Anolis sagrei: one gene and its partner. The protein of the gene in region 1 interacts with the protein of each later gene in a pairwise test. Links are inferred from orthologs where the notes say so. Each region holds a gene or a part of one and is shown on either strand. Other genes may lie near its edges.

Region 1 (3,917 bases):
ATTTCAAAAACCCGTGAAACCAGTTTTAATAGAGGTGATCATAAGAAATAACCTATGTGTGCTGGTGTCTCACCAAACTCCAAATCTAAGAATTCCAAAGCATTGAGCCCTGGCACCCAAATTGGTATCAAATTGCATTAATTTACAGTGTAGATGCACCCATCTAGTTATAACTATTTATTTATTTATTTACTGTATTTATACTGTATTTATAGCATCAGAACCCAGTTTCTCAGGCAGGCCTTCAAATGCTAATGAAGGTGATCAGCTGAAACATTCACACCTAACTGCAGCAGGGAAGAGCTCCTTGCCCCACCCCAGCCATTCCACAGATATATAAACCCATTGTCCTAATTCCAACAGACCTCACTACCTCTGAGGATGCTTGCCATAGATGCAGGCGAAACGTCAGGAGAAATGCCTCTGGAACATGGCTCTATAGCCCGAAAAAACCCACAAGAACCTAGAACCCAGTTTCTTGAAATTACAGTTCAAAAACCAAAGATATAGTTCTCTTCAGAAGACTACTTTTAAAAATTAATAACAACGTTAATAATAATAACTTTGTATTGTCATAGCTGAAATCACTGGTTTGTTGTAGGTTTTTGGGCTATATGGTCATGTTCTAGGGGCATCCTCTCCTGACGTTTTGCCTGCGTCTATGGCAGGCATCTTCAGAGGTTGTGAGGTCTCACTTCTGTGGGAAGGTAACGGTGCTCCATGCAGTCATGTTGGCCACATGACCTTGGAAGTGTCTACGGACAATGCCAGCTCTTCGGCTTAGACCCTACAACTTCTGATGATGCCTGCCACAGATGCAGGTGAAATGTCAGGAGAGAATGCTTCTAGAGAACATGGCCATATAGCCCCCAAACCTACAACAACCCAGTGATTCCAGCCATGAAAGCCTTCGACAATACAAAGTTGTTATTAACGTTGTTATTAATTTTTAAAAGTAGTCTTCTGAAGACAGCTATATCTTTGGTTTTTGAACTGTAATTTCAAGAAACCAGGTTCTGATGCTTAAGATAACTGGCTCTCAGGGCCTTTCCACAAAGCCATATAATTGAGAACATAGCAGAAAATCCCACAATATCTGCTTTGAACTGGATTATCTGAGTCCACACTGCCATATATTCCAGTTCAAAGCAGAACAATGTGGGATTTTATTCAGCTGTGTGGAAGGGGCCTCAATGTTTTGAAATATGTTGGTGAGGAGAAAAGTCTGAAGTCCAAATCCCTACTCCTCCACCATGGAGTGTCTTTGGACAAGTCACACACTCTCAGCTTTGAACCAGTCAGTTCTCAGTGCTTTTGAAACCTGTCGAGGCACTTAAAGAGGGAGGCATGACATCCCAAGGAAGGCCAAGTTCAGGTGTATTATTGCTCTCCAACCCAAAAACCTGTATGGTTTGAGGTTGGGAGAGTGTGTGTGTGTGTGCCTTGGGCGTTTTTCAGGCGGGGGGGGGGCGCTTGGAGGAGCGGCCGCCGTCTCCATGGCAACGCGGCCTTCCCGCGGAGAGCGACCAGGCCTTGCTTGAGAAGCGGGAGGCCAAGGAAGAAAGGAAGAGCTGGGGACTGCGGCGCAGGACAGAGCCAGTCAAACCCCGCTCACGCCTCAGGAGAGGCCGGGGGAGTCGTCGTTTGACAAGCGCAAGAGTAGTGGGGCTTCACTCAACCACATCTCCAGGACTCCACCGCATTGACCCGCGGAGTAAGGCAGTTCTCAGTTACATCAGGACCATCGTGTCTTTGGGTGCATCTACACCAGGCCCGGGCACACAACGGCCCTCCCTCCAGGTGTTTTGGACTCCAACTCCCGCAATTCCTAACAGTCTCAGGCCCTTTCCTTTTCTCTTTCCCCCGTAGCCGCTGTCAGGAATTGCGGGAGTTGAAGTCCAAAACACCTGGAGGGAGGGCCGAAGTTTGCCCAGGCCTAGTCTAGAAACTGGAGTATATGGCAGTGTAGATCCAGCCTATAATTCCCCTTCAAGTACCATGGAGTCACCCTGTTTGTAATTATTAGAGAACATAACTTATATTAGAGAATATAACCTTTCAGAGAAGAACCAAAAAACCCTTTAGAGCAGAACCTCCTCTTTTAGTATACAACCAAAGACAATTATACTAGGCCAGTGGTTCTCAATCTTCCTAATGCCGCAATCCCTTAATACAGTTCCTCATGTTGTAGTGACCCCCCAACCATAAAACTATTTTTACTGCTATTTCATAACTGTAATTTTGCTTCTGTTATGAATCGTAATGTAAATATCTGATACACAGGTTGTATTTTCATTCACTGGACCAAATTTGGCACAAATACCAATATGCCCAAATTTGAATACTGGTGGGGTTTGCGGAGAGGAGATTGATTTTGTCATTTGGGAGTTGTAGTTGCTAGGATTTATAGTTAACCTGCAATCAAAGAGCATTCTGAAGTCCACTAACGATGGAATTGAACCTAACTTGGCACACAGAAGTCCCATGACCAACAGAAAATCCTGGAAGGGTTTGGTGGGCATTGACCTTGAGTTTTGGAGTTGTAGTTCACCTTTATCCAGAGAGCACGGTGGACTCAAACAATGATGGATCTGGACCAAACTTGGCATGAGTACTCAATATGCCCAAATGTGAACACTGGTGGAGTTTGGGGAAAATAGACCTTGACATTTGGATGTTGCAGTTGCTGGGATTTATAGTGCACCTACAATCAAAGAGCATTCTGAACCCCACCAACGATAGAATTGGGCCAAACTTCACATACGTATCCTGGGCCCCCTGGTGGCACAGCAGTTTAACCGCTGAGCTGCTGAATTTGCTGACCGAAAGGTTGGCGGTTTGAATCCAGAGAGCAGGGTGAGCTCTTGCTGTTAGGCCCAACTTCTGTGATTAGCTCAATAGGTACAGCTTCATCGTTACGACTGCGGAAACGAGCACCACCCCTCAGAGTCAGACACGACTAGATTTAATGTCAGGGAAACCTTTACCTTTAGCTTTAGGCCATATCATCCAAATCAATCTTTCTCAGTTTGTTGGACTACAACTCTCGACATACCCGAGTTGAAGAAAACTAATCACATTGATTTAACTGCACTTAAGGTTTCTGATGGGAATTTTCTTGAGCCAGAACTATGTAAAAGTCCTGGAGATTGAACCTGAAACCTTCTTCATGTCATGCAGATGATCTAACATTGAGCTGTAGTCCTTTCCATTAAATTGTCAGAGCACAACTATAGTCATGTTCACTGGATAAGATGGATTTCATACATCAGACAAAAGCTGTTTAGGCAACCTTCTGCATCAACCTTGCAAACAGCCATAAATTATCTCTCCCTCCTGACTAGGTTTTACGTTTCTTTTTTGACAACTTAAAGGCTTATTTGGCTTTAAATGACTATGGAACCACAGTACTGTTGGTGAAAGCTAATGTGAAGAAAATTCAGATGTGTTTTTACAAATGTCCATCCTCCTTTTAATAGTGCAGAATGGCTCACGCTCAAGCAGAGAACGTCATCAAGAATATCATCCGTGAAATAGGACAAGAATGTGCCATGAAGGGACAAATCGTATCCGAAACTCTGGTGGCATTCATAGTAAGAGCAGTCCAGACACTACCTGTTGATATTGTGTAAATGCACGAGCTCTAGTATTTTGCTGCTCATGTTGGGAAGGGCATGCCTTTTTCATGTTTCCCCTGTTCATGTGGTGCTAATGTGGACAGTATTTTGGGGGTCTGGAGATAACAGTCACGGCTTTCCAAACAATCTGGGATTTTAAAAGAATCCAGAATTTAAGAGATCATCAAACTATACTGTTAAAGTGTTGTCATTCCAGTTTAACTGTTATTGCTGCCTCCTGGAGAATTCTGCGGTTTGTAGTTTAATGAGGCTCAGGAGCAGATTATTTAAAGGGCCTTC
Region 2 (3,917 bases), on another chromosome or scaffold:
AGTTCAAAGCAGATAATGTGGGATCTTTTGCCTTGATATTCTGGGATATAGGGCTGTGTGGAAAGGCAGCAGAAAACAAACCTGCTCCCTCCTCCCTGTGACTTCCTCTCACATATTTATTATACATGGCCATCATGTCTCCTCTCAGGCCCCTTCCATAGTTGAATAAAATTCCGCATTATTTGCGTTGAACTGGAATATATGGCAGGATGGGTTCAGATAACCCAGGGCTCTTACAGAATACCATGGCAGAAAATCCCACAATATCTGCTTTGAACTTGGTTATTTGAGTCCACACTCAGATCATGTAGGATTTTATGCCTTGATATTTTGGGATATATGGCTGTGTGGAAGGGGCCCCAGTTCAAAGCAGATAATGTGGGAATTTTCTGCCTTGATATTCTGGGTTATATGGCTGTGTGGACGGACCCCGAGCCTTCTCTTCTGCAGGCTAAACATTCCCTGCTCTTTAAACCGCTGCCGTTTAAGTACGCCCTTAATCTCCATATGAGGAGCAGCAAACAAGCATGCCCTCTCCTCAAGGAGAGATCTTTCCACATTTTAAGCATGGCTATCATGACTGGTCTTAACCGTTTCTTCTCCAGGGTAAACATACCAAGTTCCAGGCCCTGTATCGCTTTAATAGTCCTCCTTCGTCTGTCACGCAGAGGCTGGAGCGCCACGTGTGGGGAGTGCTTGGATGGGCGGAATGGGGTTGGGCTGGATGGCCCTCGGGGCCTCTTTCCCAGCGCCAGGATTCTGTGAAGGGAGAGGAAGGAGCGCGAGCGAACCTGGAAGGGGTCTTGGTCTCCATGGCGACCCGATTGTGACGCGGCGGGCGGCGTAACCATAGCGCCGGCTAGGCAACGGGTCCAAGGATGGAGGGAAGGAGGGAGGCGCGCCTGCACGTGGCCCCGCACCTTGGCAGCGCGAGGGTCCCGCGAGGCGGCGGTGGCGGCGGCGGCGCGTGGCCTTGGGGAGGGGCGGGGGAGGGTCCCGGAGCGGAGAACGTTGGCCCCCCCGCCAACCGCAGGAGACAAACGGGCGCCGGGTCACAGAGGCGGGCGGGCTGAGCTCACAATCCCGCAACAATCCCGCTGAGCGACATGGAGAAAGGGGCGCCGGAGGAAACCCCCCGGGAGGCGGCCCGGCTCCTGCTGCACCCGGCGGCCTGGCAAGGCGCCGCGCCCCGCCTGGACCGCCTCCTCCTGCAGCCTCTGCCCGGGCCGGCCAGCCGGGAGGCGCCCGCCCTGCTCCTCTTCCCCGCCAAGCCGCCCCCGCCGCCCCGGAAGGATGGCCAAGCCGGCGGAGGGCTCTCCCAAGGGCAGCAGGCCGGCCCTTCTTGCGAGGGGAAGGAGGCCAAGGGCCCGCAAGTCAAGGCAGAAGAGCAAGAGAGCCCCTCGCTCCTGGCGGCGGCAGCAGCAGCAGCAGGAGGAGGAGGGGGCGGCAGCACTGGCAGCAAGAAGAAAAGGGGGGAGCACAAGGCTGCCGCGGGTCGTCGGGGCGCCAAGGAGGAGACTAGCCCCAGCGTCAAAGCAGAGGAGGACCTCGCCCAGGAGGAGGCGGCGGCGGGAAGCTGCCAGGCCAGAGACCCGGGCATCAAGACAGAGCTGGAGGAGCCGCCCGAGGGAAGCCTCAAGGCCGAGGGGGAGGAAGGGCCCGAGCCTCGGCCGCCCTCCAATGGCCCCGCCGCGCCCCACAAGGAGGCTCGGCCCAGCCAGCCCCCGGGGGCGCCTCCTCCGCCGCCGCCGCCGCCGCCCGAGCTGAAGATCCCGCTGACGCTCCACCCGGTCCCGCCCGGGGCCAGGATCCAGTTCCAGGGCCCGCCGCCGCCTGAGCTCATTCGGGTCACCAAGGTGCCCGTCACCCAAGTGCCCCTCAAAATGCAGTCCCTGCTGGAGCCCTCCGTCAAAATTGAGACTAAAGATGTGCCTCTCACAGTGCTGCCCTCAGATGCAGGTAGTGGGCAGAGAGGGATGGAGAAAGAAAGGTTGCCCCACCTTGATACATTGATCATAATAAACTTGTTTATATCCTGCCACCATCTCCCCGAAGGGACTCTTACAAAGGGCCGCTTACAAGGCACTCCAGCGTGCACATAGGACATACAAGCGGTAAAAACAGTACAAAAGTATAAAACAAGTCACATAAAATTATAACAACCCCCCTCCTCAACACATGTAGCACAACATCAAAATACTACAATTTTAAAACAACAGTAGTTAAAACTAAGTGCCATCAATTCACAAGGTGTCAAGTATCACCTTGATCTTTAGGACTTATTGAACTGTGGGAGTCAAACCCTTCCAAGAGGCTCTCCAGATGCAGTCAGGCTGCAACTCCCACCAGGCTTAAGAAGCAATGCCAGGAGTGAGGAATGTAGGGAACTAAAGTCCAACATAGGCTTGAGCAGACTTTGACCCTCCAGGTGTTTTGGACGTAACTCCTACAATCCCTAACAGCCCACTGGCTGGAGGGCCAAAGTTAGCTCATGCTTGGTCCAACAACATCTAGGCCCCATCTACACTGTCAAACATGTTCAAAACACCAAGAACTATAGCAGCAAATATGGTATTTTGTCCATTTGGAAGAGCTGTTAAAGAAACAAATTTACAGAAAAGAATAACTTTTGATCTCAACAGTAACAATACTGCAATAGGAATGTGCTACTTTTTTTCTGACCAGAATTGGAATATTTATCTTCAGTTGCCAAGAAAAAAAAGATACAACAGGGCAGTTAAATTTGGAGGGGGGGGGGGGGAATAGTGATTTCATTTACGTTAGGTTGAGTGAGTAAATGTAACATTGTGCATAGTTAAAGAAGAAGTGTTATTATAGGGTCATATCTGCAGTCTATGTTGTGGAAAAGATGGATGAATTACTTCCTGCTATTATAAATAAAATTATACGTATTGTTGACAACACTGAGTAAGTGACTCAGTGGGTTGATCTGAAATTTGACATAGAAAACATACTATAAAATTCAGGATGGTCCTTCTGTGCATTGGAAATAAAATTGAGCATTGGAATGTGACTCTGGAGACCAGGGTTCAAATCTCTGCTTGGCCACAGAAACCCAGGGGTGATCTTGGACAGGTCACATTCACTCAGCTTCGGAGGAAGAGAGAAGTAACTCCCTTCTGAACAAATTCTGCCAACGAAAGCTCATGATAGAGTTGACATAAATCAGAAATAACCTGACACAGCAGCAACAACAGGCCTACAGGGACAGCCCGCATAGTGTAGTGATTTGGGTGTTGGTCTAGGACTCTGGCAACCGAAGCAGATGTCTAATTGGCTATGGAAACCCATTGAGTGATTTTGAGCAAGTCACATTCTTAGCCTGAGAAGAAAGCCATGGTCAAAGCCTTCAGGAGAAATCTTGCCAGGAAAAGCCCATGATAGGATTGACTTAGGGTTGCCATAAATCAGCAATTCTTATTTGAAGGGACAATGTGATATAGTAATAATACATCTCTGGGTAGAATTGAGGATCTTGGTTTACTATAAAATGAGTTCTCATGGATATGGAAGCAGTGTAACCAAAAAACATAACACAAGGTGGAGCTATGGCTTTTAAAATCAATAGCATCAGAACAAATTTAGCCTTAGCGAAGTCTCACAGTATAACCTTTCTCTCATACAAGCGGATGGTTGAATTTGTCTTCTAGGGGTAGGTGAGTTGTAAGATGGGGTCCTTGTTGGGTGGTGGAGAAAGGCTGCCATATATTCATCTACCTAGTATCTCATTTCTCATTGCCAGGAGATTACATCAGACACATGGTGTTTATCTAAGCACAGTGAAAATTAGTACTTTTAATCTCCAGTTATCAGCAACATGCAAAACTACACATAATATTCTGCTTACAATAATTATGAACATGTTCTTGTATATGTTTATGAAGTAGAAAGAAATC

The links.
Region 2: the proteins of CFAP206 (region 1) and SOX30 interact in binary tests that used the Homo sapiens proteins (3 or more experiments, as listed by UniProt). The two-hybrid records come from large-scale screens. The link is inferred for Anolis sagrei from reciprocal best matches to the Homo sapiens genes CFAP206 and SOX30.

Annotation. Positions count from the first base shown.
Region 1 is NC_090021.1:106,151,210-106,155,126, reverse strand, and holds the start of CFAP206 (cilia- and flagella-associated protein 206), read left to right. Parts: upstream 1-1,521; 5' UTR 1,522-1,714; intron 1,715-3,479; 5' UTR 3,480-3,485; coding exon 3,486-3,593; intron 3,594-3,917. UniProt on the Homo sapiens protein: Essential for sperm motility and is involved in the regulation of the beating frequency of motile cilia on the epithelial cells of the respiratory tract. Required for the establishment of radial spokes in sperm flagella.
Region 2 is NC_090022.1:80,320,092-80,324,008, forward strand, and holds the start of SOX30 (transcription factor SOX-30), read left to right. Parts: upstream 1-808; 5' UTR 809-1,106; coding exon 1,107-1,959; intron 1,960-3,917. UniProt on the Homo sapiens protein: Acts both as a transcriptional activator and a repressor. Binds to the DNA sequence 5'-ACAAT-3' and shows a preference for guanine residues surrounding this core motif. Binds to its own promoter and activates its own transcription.